3 linked regions of the Elephas maximus indicus genome follow. The protein of the gene in region 2 interacts with the protein of the main gene of each other region in a pairwise test. Links are inferred from orthologs where the notes say so. Each region holds a gene or a part of one and is shown on either strand. Other genes may lie near its edges.

Region 1 (5,607 bases), on a different chromosome or scaffold from region 2:
CATCTACCAGATACCTAAAAGTTAGTTGATTAGAGCTGTTTTTTTTTTTAAACTTAAGGAAACTTTAATAAATGAAATGTCAATATCCCCAGGGGAAAACCTGTTAACACTTGTAGAAGTTAGGATTGGACAGGTTGTAATGAGGTAATGTATTAATTCCTTTTGAACCTTTGCCCATTGCTACTTGGTTTGTGGATGGAGGCGAATGACCGATTCATAAAGTCACTCAGCGACCCAGGCTGACTAGCACTTTTTGGTGAAAAATATTGAAGATACCACATACTGCAGGAAGAATGAACAAATCTGTCTTGGAAGAAAGCACAGCTAGAGTGCTCCTTAGAAGCAAGGATGGTGAGACTTCCCCTCACATACTCTGGATGGGTTATCAGGAGGGATCAGTCCCTGGAGAAGGACATCATGCTTGGGAAAGTAGAAGGTCATTGAAAAAGAGGAAGACCCTTGATATGAATTGAATTGTGCCTCCCCCGCCACCCCACCTCCCCCTACCAAAAAGAAAAAATGTGTTGTAATTCTTAACCTCTATGGCTGTGATTACTATCCCATTTGGGAATGGGTTGTCTTTGTTACGTTAATGAGGCAGGATTAGTGGAGGGTGTATTTTGGGCCAATCTCTTTTGGGATATAAAAGAGATTAAACAAGCAAACTAAGAAACAGAGATGGGGGAAGAGAGATGCTAAGCCACAGAAGATGGCTCAGGAGCAGAAGCTCAAAGAGACAAGGAACTTCCTCCAGAGCTGACAGAGAGAGGAAGACTTCCCTAAAAACAGCACCCTGAATTCAGACTTCTAGACTCCTAAGTTGTGAGAAAATAAATTTCTATTTGTTAAAGCCAACAATTTATGGTATTTCTGTTGTAGCAGCACTAGATAACTAAGACAACCCTTATTGAGATGGATTGACACAGTGGCTGCAACCGTGGACTCAAACATAGCAATAACGGTGAGGATGATGCAGGATGGGGCAGTGTTTCGTTCTGTTGTACAGGGGGTCTCTATGAGTCAGAACCAACTTGATGGCACCTAGCAACAACATACATCAACAGGAGTCATAGCAGAAGATAAGAAAGATTGGAAAAATGAGCACCATTGCCCAGAAGTCACACTTATCACTTCTGCTAACATTTCATTTGCTCCCAGCCAAAAGGGCTCGGATATTTAGGGGAAAAAATGGAATATTGGGTAAGCATTATTGTGTGGCACTTGAGTTATCTACATTATGAGTGCTGGTCTCACAGTTCTTTTCCACAGGTAAGATTCCTCCTTCTCCTTCCACTTAATTAAGAACCATTCATCAATTACTTAGGATAGATGAGCTTCAATTCTTTAGAAGCAAGTTTTGTTGCAGAGATGAAGACAAGGAGGAGACAACCACCTCCCTTGGTGTCCCTGAAGCACTTCGCCCTTTTTTTGGGAGATGGTACTTCACTCCCCTTTGCTTTCCTAACATTGAACATAGCGCCTGGCACATTGTAACAGCTCACTGAGTTTGTGTGGAATTTCACGTTGGAGCATTTCAGGTGAAAAGTTTATAGACTTCCATGGCATTCTTCTGTCATAAGGAGTTTTTTTGGTTGTTGTTTTGTTTTTGTAACTCCTTCAATTCAGTTTAATAAAATCAAGAAAACACACGTAAATTCTGAGACAAAAGAGAAAGAACCACTTCAATGTACAATATAATCACCTTTGCTGTTTTAACTGTACCACAACCAGTCCCACACCTAACCAAATCGTTATCTGTACTGCCAAACAAGAAATAAACTCAAAGCTTTCGAAGAGTATGAAGAAATGCATGAAGATTTATGTTATTCAACAACAGTAAAGGGATTTGACAAAATGCTTTAAGAGGCTCAGTTATAATCTGTACTCTAGTATTTACAATGTTTTGCTTCTTTGCTTCTGTTCTCTACCCTTGGGGCCATCTTAAATGGCACTGTCAGTTTTATCTTCTTTGTATATTACTTTCATAAAGTCTCTCTCCTGTTCAAAACTCAGGACTAAACTCCTCAATTCTGGTACTTTTGGCTCTACGGTCATGTAAGTTTTCTTTTAAATCAAGATTCCCAAATGAGCCTTCTGCTGAAGTCAAGGCTGCACGTATTTGCTAACAACTCACCTACTACCTGGAAGGTCACATCCCTTCTTTCATATCTACTGAAATTTTGCCCATTGCTCAGGCCCGAATTGGGCCTCACCTACTTGAAGGCCTTCCTGAATATTTCTACTCAGACCTGAGATCTTGAAGCATCTATGGTCTGTAACAGTTATCTGGGCATCAAGAAGAGCTCATAGTTTTAACTTAAATGTTTTGAGACTGATTTTTCTCCCAGCCAGTAGGGTCGCTATGAGTTGGAACTGACTTGACGGCACTGGGTTGGGTCAGTCTGAGCTTCTTCAAGGGGCTCTATTTTATTATATTTCTCAAAATGGATTAATAGAAGGCACTCAAGAAATATTTAGTGCATGCCTACTGTGCGTTTAGGCTTTGTAGACGTGCCACTAGGTATTATAAGTACTAGCTGAATTAATGTTTGAAGAATTTTAAGGTGCTATATTTTTTTATTTTAGGACTATATGTTGGGCTAGATACTAAAGTGGTATCACTGCCTATTGCCATTCTAAATCCAAGTTTTAATATAATTAATGTATTCATATTTATCAATATCCTCCTATACTTTTATATTGTAGTTTTAATGAAAATATCATTTTTGAAAATATTAATGCTAGATTTTTTTTTGAGAATTTATTCTTAACATTACCTACTTAGTGATTCTGCTTTATATGCCAATATGGTGTTTTGTTTGGTCATTAGCGGGTCTGGATTTCCTAATCCACAAATATATACAAAATTTAGGTACAAAGATGATTCTAATTTTCTCTTACATCTTTAATAGATGGATCGTCTCTTATGCTAGGTATGGTAATGTACAAAAATATCCAATTCATTTATAAATTACAGTATTATTAAATTTGCTTTAATAAGTCCACGTTAAAGCAAAACAATAACAAATCACAGCTTCTTAGAGTAGAAAACAATTTATGATTAGTCTTATCACCTTGTTCCCTTGACCTTTCAGAAATCCACCGATCATCTGAGGATGCTCTTTCAACTGCTCCCTAATGAGGAAAATATCTTCTGAAAATTCCCCCTCCTGTCACCCTTAGATCATGCCTACATCTTCTCTGGCTTTCCTTTGACACTTGCTCCTTTAAAACCAGCAAAAAACGGGAAAAGGTTCTTAACTCACACATCTCTAACTTTGTCGTAAAATCCTTTGTCAGTTTACCCTGTGTTCTTGAGTGGTTCTCCGTTTCTTTTTCCAGCGAATTTCACAGTTGTCTTGTAGCCTGATTTACCAGTTTCGTTCCCGCTTTATCAGTTTTGTGATTCTTTGTACAGATTAATAACCATGAAAAAGCCTAAAGTAGGCACTTTCAGACTAAATCAGAGGAGCCTTTTCCCGTAAAGCAACCTGGTGCTTCACAAAATTTAAGGCAGAAGAATGAGTGATAGAGCAGGCACCAATAGGAAGTGGAGAAGAGTATTTTGTTGGAGTTTGCAATCCAATCCTTGGGAGCCAGAGGTGGGAATTTTAAAGGGGTTGTCTTTTCCTTGGAATTTTCTTAAAGTGGTATCGCTGCCTGCTGATGTGAAAGTTTGCAAAATCGCTAACTTAAGTTAGAGGGGTCTTCCTCCCTTGTTTTAAGTAAGGCAAAATGTGAAAACTGATTCTTTATATAATGAGAAGACTTTCATTAATGGTCATAGAATACTATATTATCAATTATCACTTGGTTACTTTTGTGTCAATTGAGGGGGGGTGTTAAAAGTTATTTAAAAAAAATTTTTAAGATGGTACATTTTTCAAGACCAAGTATCATATACTAAATTGCTCCACTGAAAAAAATTTTTTGAAGAAATGAAAACCAAAGAGGCAGACATTGATCAGCACGTTTAAAAAAAAAAAAATTGTTGTTCTATTGTTAATCCTTTTTTGTGACTTCTGTATTAGGAGCAGGTTTTATTATTTTGGCTGATCATTAATATCCTAAGAATTTGTTTTTACACACGCTTTAGGTTTCTTCATTTTAATCCTAGCAAAAAATGTCTACCCCAACCAAAAAAAAAAAAAACACTTAGAACTATATGACATTTACTATCCTGTATACTTAAGACCAGATTTAATTGGTAATTTATAACTAACAACGTGTTTTGGAAGTTTTTAAAAAATATAATTCTCCTTTCTAGGTAATTCATATCTAAGAGTAATTAAGCCAAACTGAAAATAGTTAATTATAAAGTTGCTTTACAATGAGGCTCTAGAAAATTACCAAAATCAAGCTTTTCAAAGACCAATAAACAACTGCAGTTTTAAGGGAGGACACTTTTTAAAACAATTTTCACTTCATCATAAAATTGTTACATTAACAAGCGTGGTATTTTAAAAATGTGTGTATGTGTTTTAATATTCCAGAACAATGCTTGGTTGTTGTTTTCAAAGCAGTTTGAAGCCGTCTTCCTTTGATGTCTCTTTCCACTGACACAGGAAAATTGATTCTTGAAGTGATATTTATTGACGGACTACCCAGTCATGCTAGGGACTTCCATAATACGTAACTCACTACACATCTTCGGTGTTTCAAGGGCAGTGACTGGGTTATTTCATCTTTGGAACCTGGTACTCACCAAAAAAACCAAAACCAAACCCGTTGCCACCGAGTCTTTAAATCCGGTGCTGCCCTAGGCCACGTTACAGAAACCCACCGGGCCTCAGGTTTTCACCAGTCGAAAGGGGATAATAGCACCCGTGGGAAGGGGCTGTTGTGAGGGGTAAAAGATAGCCCACGCACAGCTCAACATCCGGTGTTATTATTGTTGCAATTCCTTAACGTATGCACTGGGCGAGAGCACGAGTGCCTGAATGAACGCATGAATGAAAGAAAAAGTTAACTATTGCCGGATCTTGGGGCTGGAAAAGGTTAAATTACAACTTCAGAAAAACAAAAACCCGCTACCCCAAGAAGCCGCCAGGCCGGAGCCGGAAGCGCCGGCAGGGGGCGGGACCAGTGTGGAGGAAGCCGCGCTCTCGGCCAATAGACACATCTCGTGGAAAACGTGCTTCTCGTCCCACCTATCGCGAATCCGCACGAACGGGGGCAAGTTATCGCGAGGTTCCGCTCTCCTCTCCACGGCTCCCACTTCCCTCACTCCCTGAGGTGCGGGTTCCGCCCTGTGCTGCCCGGCGCCCCGCCCCACCCTCGCCCCGCCCCTCCCGGCGCCCGGGGCCCCGCCCCCGAGGCCCCGCCCCTCTCCCGCGGGCCCTCGGCTTGCCGTCCAGTGTCTCCTGCGCTCGGGAGCGCTGGCTCCGCCGGCGCCCAGGTGAGTGTGGCTACCTGCCGTGTCGGGTGGCTCACGTGGCGGGGCCCTCCGGCCCGACTCCCGGCGGGGCTGCCCCGGGCCACGTTGGGGAAGCCGAGTGGGCCGCGAGGAGTGGGACCCCGGCCCAAACGGGCCGGTCCGGGCCTCGGGTCGCTGCGATCGCTCAGGCCTCCCGTCCCGCCGCGCCCCGCCGCCCCCTCGGACCCGAG
Region 2 (5,607 bases):
ACGGGTCCTAACAATTAGCCGATAAAGAACTGGGATTCGGGGTGGGGTGAAACGGAGCTCATCTCTTTCCAAGACTGCTCTTGCCTTAGAGACGGAGGCTCTTTCTTAGTATTCCCACCTCAGCAAGTCCCTCCCTAAATGGAAACCCTCTAGAAAAGCTGTTCCTGAACAACCTTCTCACAAGGCCTCCGGATTGTCTGTTAAATTACAACACGTTACAGGTCATAAGCAAGTGCCCACAGTGAAGTGGGGGCAAGTATAAAAATAAACCAAAGGCTTGCATTAAAGTGGCATAGACACAACCGAGTTCACAAATACAGAAACACATGAGAAAATATTTGTGTCAAATTCCCACACCAACAGCTTTCATCTAGTCAAAATTCTTGGTAGCTGAGTGGGTGCAAGTGTGGGGACAGAGGGAAGCAGAAATTTGAGGAGGTTAAGGCGGTGCTTTGTGTTTTATTCAGTTTAAATTCAGAGAAACAGAGATGCATTACGGCTCCAAAGAAAACTAGTTAAATTCTAATGGCAACTAGGTCAAAATATGTTATGTATGGGGACAGGGACTTGAAGTAAAAGGCAAAAATATGATTTCCTCCCATCCCCTTAATACTGTACAATATTTTCAATTAAATGCTTTTATCTTTTCAAATCTTGTTTGCTGGCTCTCTGGTTAACCTGATCTTATAAAATCACAATTCCCCAAAATTCCTGCTTCACAGAAGCCTTTAGAGCGTTATGTCCATCACAGCAGTTTTTAGAGCAGCAAAACACTGGACAATGTTTTAGAGGACTGCTAAAATAGACTGTGGTCCAGCCGTAACTAGGGAAAACCACAGAACCATTAAAGAGAAAGACACAGATCTGAATGTGTGGGGATGGAACAATCGCTGAGAGTGAGTGAACAAAGCCAAGTGTAAGACAATGAGTCTAGTATGCTCTTATTTGTGTTTAAATATGCGTATATAAATACATAAGTGCAAACATGTACCTCTCCACAGAAAATTTCTGGGAGCACACCTAAGAAAGCTGGGAATGGTTACCTCTATCCAAAGAAGGAGACTGAGGGTCTGAGGTGAGTAGCAGATTCACTTTTCATGATATAAACTCCTATATTATTTGAAAAAAAAAAAAGGTATGTGTATATGTATATTGCTTATTAAAAATATATGATTGTCACTTTTTAACTTTTATAATAATGAGTCCTGTTAACTTTCCAGGCAATGTTCTAAGGTGTTCTTCCTAAGTAGTTTTAAGATCAAAACAAAACAAAACCCATTGCTGTTGAGTCAATTCTAAGTCATAGCAACCCTATATAGAGGAACCAAAAGCCCTATTCTTATCCCCATACTCAGAAAACAGACGATCTGATTGTGCCGAGTTGTCAAAATGTGGAGGCAATGTGTGAAAAAACTAAATATGTTCATCTTTTAGAGGGGGATGTACTGAGATGTATATACATAAGTGTGGCTGAAGAACTGGGTCAGCCTCCCACCAGGCCTTCCCAAATAAAACATGAAGGAAACAAGCTGTTCACTCTTATCTTCTTGGAAGGCCCAGGGGCTGTTCCACATCACTCCCAAAGAACCATCCCGAAGCCTGGAATCACATTATCTCCCAAATAATCTGTACAGTGTTGGACCCAAACCCAAACCATCCCCAGTTCTCTCTGGGCCCACATCAGTATTCTAGAGCTTCATGGGACCAAAGCAGTGTGCCTGGGTACAGAAGACCAACTGGAACAACAGAGGTCATTTAAACATCTTCTAGTCTCCATGTATGTGACCTATTCCTGGGTCCCACCACACAATTACTGTGTGGCTTGTACTTTAATATCCTGACCACTTTTTTTTAAAGGGCACATTACTTTAGCTTTCAAAACTTCTTTTTGCTTTCACATATTTCAGGTTCAAATGAGGGGTGTTTCAGTATAAATTCATGAGATTTTTGCCATCCCCCCCACCAGGCACCTCAGTCTAAAGAATGTTCAAAATTAGACCAAGGGAAAAAACAGGATAGTGGACAAAGTTGCCTCTCTTATATGACTTGATGACCGGGATGAGCAGGCATAGGAGTCTACACCCCAACAGAGGGAAAAACTTCTGGCTTTGTACTCTAGAGCCAAATAATGGCAGGTTTGGACACTTGGAGGAATAGGGGATGGAAATAGGCCTCGATGAGAAGACGGTAAAAGAGACTGCAGGTTGCTAGGCGGTAAGGAAAGATGGCAGACAGCTGACGGGCAAGGGCACAGCTGCAGGACAGCCCCATCTTAGTTTGCCCTTCTTTGCCCCCAAAGAACTTAAAAGGGAAGCATTTTCTTGGTTAAGTTAAAAATCAATTGTGTTCAACACATTTCCTCATAATTTCTGATACAGATGAAGAACTTATTCGTGAAGTTCCTTATCACTGTCATACATACAAAGCCAGCTCTGGCCTATTTAGAGTTATTTCATTTGCAAGGTATCCAGGTCTTTCCCTCTCACTTTCTCTGATCTTTGTTCCATTTCATAGCTTACTAGTACTCCAGTGTAGCACAGGGCAAGAAAGAAAGCTCACTTATAAACCACTCTGGTATATGCTGCTTTTATATTTGAAACCAGTGGCTAAAATGGTATCTGTGAGATCGATTAGTTATGGAAAGTAAAATTTCTTATCTCCCTTCTCTCTGTTTAAGTCAAGTGACCTCAATGCTTTTCACCAGTAGGCCTCTTTACTGAACACTCTGGAGCAGAGCACAGGTTATGGATATAAGCTGGGGAGAATTCCCACTGTGTCTAACACTGCCCCCACAGAATCAGGGAACTGAGCTTTGTCTTAAATACAAGTAGTTTCTCTGTCATCACAGACCTTTTCTCACAGGATTTATCTTTAAATATTTTATTATCTTGTTGATCTTCTCCCCATATTTTCCATATCACTCTCAAAATCTGAAGCTCCACACTGGAGTGCAGTCTGTCACAGGCTGTGACAGGGCCTGGTGTGGGATCACCTCCCTCCCAGTTTCTATGGGATCTTCTTTCCTCTGTAGGTGCTGGCATTCCAGCTGCTGTACTTCATAGGCTGCACCACCAGCCTACGGCGCAGCTGCTGACTCATGCTCACTTTGGGACCTGCTAGGAGTCAGGCCCTTTTTCTGCTCTTCTGTCACAACAGCCACCACCCACCTCACACAGCATGGTACCCATCACCTTCTCGGGACTCAGCTCTGACCTGGCTCGAAGTCTTATTGCAAGTCTATGTTTCTTCACCCGTCCCTACCCCCGCCCGGGGAGCCCACCTGGAAGACGTCGTTGGCACACTTGCGGCACAGGTTGTGTTGGCAGGGCAGGATCACCACCGGTTTGGAGAACATCTCCAGGCAGATGGGGCAGATGAGCTGCTTCTCCAGGTTGTCCATGCTGTGTGCATCCCCTAGCAGCGGCTTGAAACCCACTGCGAAGTTCATCCCCTCAGCGATCGTGCCTGCCCTGGCCTTGGCCCTGGTCCTGGCCTTCTCTCACTAACTCTGGACCCTTCCTCGTTTACTTTAGACAGTCTGCAGATTCTTATGTTCCCTTCTGTTGCTCACTCTTGAAATAGCTCTGCTATCTCTCCTGTCCTTCCTCTAACAACTTGCCTCGTCCTTAGATGGCTGTCTCCAGACACTTCTGTCTCACCCTGTTCTCTGCTCTATGCCCTAGCCAGGCACATGTAGCTTAATCTATCCCTCCCTCTGTCCCTGGAAAATTCTCCTTTTGTTTCTCAAACGACTTTCTCTTGTTCACTCTGTGGGCAGCACTGTTTGTCCCTCACTCCACAGAGAGGAGATTAACTTTAACATGGGGGTGGGGAGGCAAGGGGCATCTGTATGTCATTCCAGCTCCCAATTTAGCTCATGTAAGGCGAGCCACAGCTGTCATTGAGTGAGTGACCCTGACTCACTCAGGAATGGGTGGCTCCCTTGAGCAACAGCAGGGAGTGAGCTTCATTGCTTATGGTGAAGGGTATGCTAGCAGAGGTGTCAGTCTCTCATTTGCTTCCCCTCAGAAGGCTCCCGTGAGCCCCTGACCTCCATGCTCTGGCTTGGGCTCTTCTTCCAGGGCAGTGACACAGAATTCTAAATTAGCCCGCGTGAAAGGCACTATGCAAGTCCCAGGGTGGGAGGACAACTCTCGCCAGACCTACAGTCAGTGACAGTTTCCTCCTCCACAGACTTAGCCAGTGACCCTGGCCCTCCTCCTTGAGACCCCGTGATTCAGAACAGAGGCATCAGAGACTAGAGAGACATTTCTGGTTCATTCTGTTCTTGCCCAGCCCCTTCTCATATCACCCTAGGAAAAGGAGCTAAAGAGGTCAGAGGTGGCTGTTGTGCCAGGGCCTGGAACGCCTTTACAAGAATGCCCCTGTGAAAGTGTAAGATTCTGGTCCATGAACACCTCACAGGAAGAACTCTGATGACCTTTAACTTTGTTAGGAAATTGGGAGAAGGTGAGGTGGGCAGAAAGGACCTGAATGCCAGGGACCTATTTTGGACACCAAGGGAAACAGTCTCCAGGGAAATTTTAGAGCACTGACAAAATACATAATCACAAGGCTCCAGGAAGCTTCTGCCCCAACCCCACAGTTGTCCTGGACTCTTCCTCTCCAGGCCAGGCTGGTCCCAGGTTTGAACACTGGCCCCCTATCTTTTTCTCCTACACGCTTTGTTCTTTATCCCAGGCCCAATTTGTCTCCCCAGCCCCCTATCCCCGGCCAAAAAAAAAAAAAAAAAAAAAAACGCACTGGGATTGGACAAAAGCTCTTTATTTACTGACATTTCTTAGCCCTTATCTCAGTCAAGGGAGAGAAGTTTCAGGAGTTACTAAGCTCTGACCCTGGGTGTATGGGGAATAAATGGTGTGGAGGAGATGCCAAACAGGCAGAGCAAAGAGGCACATGTGGGGAAAGGGTCTGTAACAGTCCTTTCCCTATCACGTTTCATGCCCTTGTTTTAAGAATAAAATACCTGGTAATGAGCCTCTATAAGATGTGGTAGAAAGGATGGAGGCAAGCAAGCACTGATGTGTGAACTCCTGTCAACCTACAGGACCAATATTAATGGTTGCTGTGCTGGTAGCTGAAGTCCAGGGAGAAACCAAAGGTGGGATGACTACTCCTAAGCCTCAAATACACTCATACTTCTCCTGGGTTGACTCACATGACATGGAATGTGGTGGGCAATGCCAAGGGCATGGGCACCCGAAGAAGGTGAGACTACTCCCAGAAAGCTGTAGTGGCTTAAGAATGAGGCTGACACAAGGAGTTCTTGGTACACAGAGTTGTAAGAGAGGAGGGTTAGCTGGTACAGCAGCTCCAGGGATGGGATTCACCCTGCCCAGGCATCAGGATCTTGGTGGAGATATCGCAAGTGGCTCAGGGACCCGACCAGCTGACACTCAGTCAAATCCCAAGGAAAGCACAGGTTAAACAATCTTCAGGAAAAGTTTGCCACCACTGCCTGAGGCCTCATAAGGGTAGGGATGGGAGAGCTGCTCTCTGACAGATTGACATTGGTACTGGAGCTAAAAAAGAGTAGCTGGGCAACCCTGTATGGCTGGGGTTGGTGGTACTATTAAGAGCAGAGAT
Region 3 (5,607 bases), on a different chromosome or scaffold from region 2:
CACTGTCTGACTTGCTTCCTCTATCCAAACTCTACAGGGGACACTGGGGGTGACCACACACTAAATAGTATGCACCCTGCAGACACTCTGAAGCTCAGCTCCTACCTGCCCAAGGAGACACGTGTGGCTAAACCTGCAGTTTCCCTTCATCCACCTCGGTGTGACCCCAGCCCTCTGCCCTCCACACACCATCCTGTGCTTTGTCCTCAAAATAAATGGCCCCCAAATATATGTTTCTGGCATACCCAGGCTCTATCTGTACGTACCACGTGCCACACGGACACCTTCGGAGCCTCGTTAGTGATACAGCGGTGCCTCCTGCCGTCTTTGCCCAGCTGGAAATTTTGGGGGTCATGGCATAGCCATTTACCCAACTGGAGAAAGAACACACCCCATGTCCCTGCCTGCTCCTGCCATAGTAATCCCATCGCACCCAGGTGGGGCACAGCTGAGCACGACCACCACAGAAGACCTACAGGTGGCCTTACCCACGTAAGAGCACCAAGGCCATTTCTGCGTCACTCCCCACTGCACCCAGGCAGGGCACTGCCGAGCATGACCACCACAGAAGACCTACAGGTGGCCTTACCCATGTAAGGGCACCAAGGCCGTTTCTGCGTCACTCCCCACTGCACCCAGGTAGGGCACTGCCAAGCACGACCAGCACAGAAGACCTGCAGGTGCCTTACTCATGTCAGGGCACCAAGGTCGTTTCTGCACCACCTCCTCACCCCCTCTGCACTGGGGGTGAGTGATCCCTGTTCCCTGTGCACGGGTAGAGAGAAGGCAGGGCACTGTGGCAACCTGGCCCTCCTGCAGACTAAGGGCATTTGCATCCGCCTGACTGGTCCACATGCAACTCTGTCAGAGACAAGCTCAAGTCCCCCACTGACACAGTGTGACAGACAGAGCTCTGGTCCCATCCAACCCCAGTACCAGCTCTTGTCCATGTCTGGCCCCCAGGGTAAACTTACATTTCAAAGATACCCCTGTCACACACTCTTTGGGCTGACATTGGGGCCACGTGTGTGCCTTGGGACCAGGTCTCCTTGATTTTCTGGCAATGTCCATTTCAAATATTCTGACTTCCCCACCAATCCCTGGAGTTCTCTTGAGATGACAACACTTCTTTCTCATTTAAACTTTGTCTTTCAGACTGCGGCTCGCAGTAGGGAAATGCCTCATCTGATTTAGAAAGTAAGATGACCATCAGATGTCGACCTTTTTCACTGTGTTCACGGGACTGCCCCGTGTGTGACCACACCAAAAACCCAAACCTGCTGCTACTGAGCCGACTGTGTGTTACAGGGCAGAGACTGCTCTGTAGGGTTTTCTTGGCTGTGACCTTTCAGGAGCAGATTACTAGGACTTCCTTCCAGTGCCACCAAGTGGGTTCGAATGGCCAACTTTTCAGCTGCTAGTGGAGCACTTGGAGCCCTGGTGGTGCAGTGGTTAACAGCTCACTGGCAGTTCAAATCCACCAGCAGCTCCTTGGAAATCCTATGGGGCAGTTCTGCTCTGTCCTATAGGGTCTCTAAGAGTTGGAATCGACTCAGTGGCAATGTTTATTTTTTTTGTTGAGCACTTAACCGACTGTATCACCCAGGGACCACACACTACAAAAATGACAAAATAAGAGCAGCTTTCTGGACCCCTGACCTCTAAGACCTATGTCCCACCCACTTTAGGGAAGCCCTGCCCTCCCAGAGGAGACTGCAATCAACATTTTTCCTATAGGGTTGTTATGAGTTGGAATTGACTAGAAGGCGATGGGTTTGCTTATTTTTGGGGGGGGAATGTCTGGATATCTGGACATATCACATCATCACTGCCCCGCAGACCCTGGGGTCTCCCCAGAACATCAGAAGCAGCCACAGTGCTAACACGTACCCCCCAGCACACCTGTGGTCCTGATGCTGCCTACACAGTTATCATGTGAGCCACCTGTTCAGACCTGAGAGTCACCCTGTTCTGGCTCACTGCAGACACTCTACCTGACCTGATCCTGTCTGTTCACTCCACAGACACCGTGTGTGGCCCAGCCCCTGTCTACACCAGATGCTGCATGTCTCCTGTAGGTGCGTACGCCACAGACACCTGAACAACACAGTGGCTCCTGTTCACCCCATGAGCAGCCTGTTGCTGCCTGCACACGCCCCAGAGAGCTTGACCCCTCCAGACACCGTGGATAATGTGTTGTGTCTGCCCCAAAGACATCACGCTCAGTATAGCCCCAGACAGCCTCTGACAGGCCATGACTGGCAGCACACACTCTGGGCCCCTGCACACAGGAAGACACCGGGCTCTGCTTGGAAATACTGCATCCTGTGGTAGGAGCCTTCCTAATCCACCTCTTGGCTGTCCCCTTCCCCGCTAGCAGAGTGTCATTTCTTCCTCCTGGCACCCCGTTTCCCCATCCTCCACCTCACCCCAAGAGCCCCACAATGGACTTCCCTTTCAGGTGACCCTCAGGTGAGTTAATAAATGAGCCCCACTGTGGGGCCTCTCCACACTCCAGGTGTGAATAACACAGGACATTGGAGAAGGAGGCCATGTCCACAGATTAAACATGGGGAGGTGGTTAAGTGGAGCAGGGAGCTTCCAGTGTAGCTGAGGATGGAAGCCATAGATAGAGTAGGGTGGTGAGCCTGGAGCTGAGGAAGGAGGAAGCCAGCAAGGACAAGTCAGCCTAGCTCCCAGCCCGCCTGCTGACACACCCTCCCTGGATCTGACATCAGTCCTGACCAGAGGTCACTTGTGGGGAGACAGGCAGCGGTGAATGTGGGGATCAGGAGAGATGGGGCTGAGGCCAGGATTCAGGACAGGCTGGCTGAGGGAATTGTAAATGATGCTCAGGCCCGGGCCCAGTCTGGAGTCCTGGCCCCCGGCCCTGGGCCCTCCTCCTTTCCCAGTGAAGAATGCAGTGTGGTGTTAACAAGGAGCTTCGGGAGGCGCTCCCCGCACCTGCCCATGGGGTGGGGACCTCACTTCTAGGGTGGGGCCCTCACTCCTAAGATGGGAAGCCTTGCTGGTGGAGAGGGGTGCGCACATAGACACACACAAGGTCGCAAACACGTACGGAGGAAGGTAAATGCAGGCCTGGCCACGGCGAAAGACAGAAGAACGCACGTCCTGTAGGCTTTCCTAGAAGAGGGTCTCGATCATCCCCCGTGGGGGCCGCTCCCTCCGGGCCTCGGCGGGCCCCACCCGGCGACGGCGCACCTGGCCAACGGGCGCACCTGGGCCGGCGCCCACTTCCGCGGCCGGCCGGCCGGAAGCGTACTTTTCGGGAAGAAGGTCCCGGCGGCTCCCCTCCTCTTCCTGCCCGGCCTGGGGGTGCTCGCGGCGCACACCAGGTGGCCCGCCCGCCCCCGTTTCCGGGCCGCCAGGCAGGTCGCCTTGGCCGCGCCCCCTCGTCTGCGCCCCTTACCTCTTTGGGCCGGGGACCTGCGCCCACCCGGCCGGTCACATGCTGTCCGCGAGGGTCCGCGGCCCGCCGTGTCCCCGCGCAGGCCCGGCGCCCGCAGACGGGAGGAGGGCCCAGCCTCCTGGAAGTTTCAGGTGAGGAAACCTGGGCACACCTTCCCGGGGGAGGGGCGGTCGATCGCGGCCTCATTGGTGTGAAGGCGGCGGTGCGTCAGAGCCGGGCAGGCCAGGCAGGCCAGCGGCGCGCCCGGGGCCCGGAGACCGAGGGGGCAGGGGACCGAGGGGGCCAGGGGGACAGATCCGGGGCAGGGGCGCAGAATAGAGGGCAGAGGGGAGAAGGGGGCAGGGTGGGGGGACAAGGGGCCAGAGTGGGAGGCAGGGGGGGAGAAGAGAGGCAGAACGGGGGACGGGGGGAACAGAGCGGGCAGGGGCAGGACAGGTGCAGAGCAGGGGTCGGGGGCACGGCCGGGGGCAGGGGACCTAGGGGAATGAGAGGACAGACAGGGGTGGGGGCAGAGCTGGAAAGGCAACAGAGGGGGAAGGTAAGACAGAGGTGGGGGGGGTTACAAAAGTAGTACAGAGGAGGGAGAGAGGAAGTCAAATAATGGAGTGTGAAGGAAGGTCAAGCAGAACAGGGGGGACAGAGTCGGGTGGCGCTCACCCATTTGTGTCCTGTGGGCTTCAATTTGCTGGGCTGAGTTAGGACCCCTGTGTTTTACTCTCCCTGGTCAGATGGGCCAGGTTGGGTCGGATGGGTGGTGATTTACTTCTGAAAGGAATGTTGATACTAGCTCAAAAGTTTTAAAATTGAGGGCTTCTCAGAGATTAACAAGCCTTGTGCTGGAGGAAGACGGAGGCTTAAGAAGTGCAAAGGCCACCCCGACTTGTGGGGTTCCTGCATTGGGTCCCCCTGATGTGCTTGTTGAGTCTTTCTGGGTCACTTTATGGTTAGGTCACTTAGGATTCACTGGGAGGCCCCAGGAGTTATGTGGGGCAGAGAGGGCTGCCTATCCTGGTTTCAGAATACTAGGGCGTTAAGGGGGAAAGAAAGAGCCCTGGTTGCACATTGCTTAAAGCACTTGACTGCTAACCAAAAGATGGGTAGTTTGACACTACCAGCCACTCCTTGGGGGAAAGATGTGGCACTCTGCTTCCTTAAAGATTTACAGCCTTGAAAACCCTGTGGGATCGCTGTGAATCAGAATCGATTCAACAGCAGTGGGTTTTTTGGGGGTAAGGCCAAGAGAGACTTCTGTGCTAGGCCACTGGCTGCGATGTTCTGTGGCCTGATAAAGGCTGGATTTTAGAAGAAAGGACTGGGAGGCCCAGGGGAGAGCAGAACAATTCCGTAGGCAGTAAGGATGACTTCCTGGGACTGTATGTGCGATGGCTTGTTGCAGGGTCACCCTGGATATGCACCTGGAGTGGTTTTACAGGCTGTGGAAGAATAAACAGCCTTGGTTCAGGACTCCTGGGGTGCTGTACCTGGTGCAGCCAAGAAGACACTTGCTACATGGCCTGGCCTCAGGATGCCATCTGTTCACACCCCTTATAGCTGGATCAGGAGGTGCGATTTTAGTGCCAGCAAAGGTTGCCAAGATTCTTGGGGTTTAAAAACAAACAAACAAAAGCTAGATTGGCATCAATAAGTGGTACAATAAATATTAAATTTTTTTAAAAAGTGGGCTGCCAAGCTTACCTATCAGATTAGCCAAGATTGAAAAGGTTAATAACTACACCCACATTGTTGGTGGAGGGCTTGGGGAGTGGGCTATGGAGACAGAAAGGGTGCCATTGCCTTAAAAAAAACAAAACAAAGTCCTTTAATAGCTTTCCTGGGTTTTCAGAAATAAGCAGGCTGTAGTCTCTGGTGTTGCAGGTCTCCCAGTCAAGTGGGGACAGCTAATGCTGCGGTGTAGTACCTCTTAGGAAGTACCTCTTAGCATAGAGTGGTAGGAGTTTGAAAGAAGGATAGATCTTAATATCCTTTTGTTAAGTTTATAAATCAACACAGAAATGATGGTGATGGGCAGCAATTACATCAAAAGGTACACTGTCCCCAAGTTTGAGAGGCTCCCCAAATATCTCCTGTAGGACTGTTCTTAACTTGGCTGCATGTTATTATTCTATTGAGCATCCCCCAAGTGTCTGGTCAATGATGTCTGAGAATGACTAGGTCTT

The links.
Region 1: the proteins of TRIM54 (region 2) and TTC23 interact in binary tests that used the Homo sapiens proteins (3 or more experiments, as listed by UniProt). The two-hybrid records come from large-scale screens. The link is inferred for Elephas maximus indicus from reciprocal best matches to the Homo sapiens genes TRIM54 and TTC23.
Region 3: the proteins of TRIM54 (region 2) and ARHGEF5 interact in binary tests that used the Homo sapiens proteins (3 or more experiments, as listed by UniProt). The two-hybrid records come from large-scale screens. The link is inferred for Elephas maximus indicus from reciprocal best matches to the Homo sapiens genes TRIM54 and ARHGEF5.

Annotation. Positions count from the first base shown.
Region 1 is NC_064831.1:90,662,909-90,668,515, forward strand, and holds the start of TTC23 (tetratricopeptide repeat protein 23), read right to left. Parts: upstream 3,504-5,607; 5' UTR 3,306-3,503; exon of another isoform or gene 3,271-3,305; coding exon of another isoform or gene 3,267-3,270; exon of another isoform or gene 3,075-3,266; intron 1-3,074. UniProt on the Homo sapiens protein: Participates positively in the ciliary Hedgehog (Hh) signaling.
Region 2 is NC_064830.1:45,787,981-45,793,587, reverse strand, and holds the start of TRIM54 (tripartite motif-containing protein 54), read right to left. Parts: upstream 3,449-5,607; coding exon 3,281-3,448; intron 1-3,280. UniProt on the Homo sapiens protein: May bind and stabilize microtubules during myotubes formation.
Region 3 is NC_064826.1:5,478,937-5,484,543, forward strand, and holds the start of ARHGEF5 (rho guanine nucleotide exchange factor 5), read right to left. Parts: upstream 3,550-5,607; 5' UTR 3,431-3,549; intron 1-3,430. UniProt on the Homo sapiens protein: Guanine nucleotide exchange factor which activates Rho GTPases. Strongly activates RHOA. Also strongly activates RHOB, weakly activates RHOC and RHOG and shows no effect on RHOD, RHOV, RHOQ or RAC1.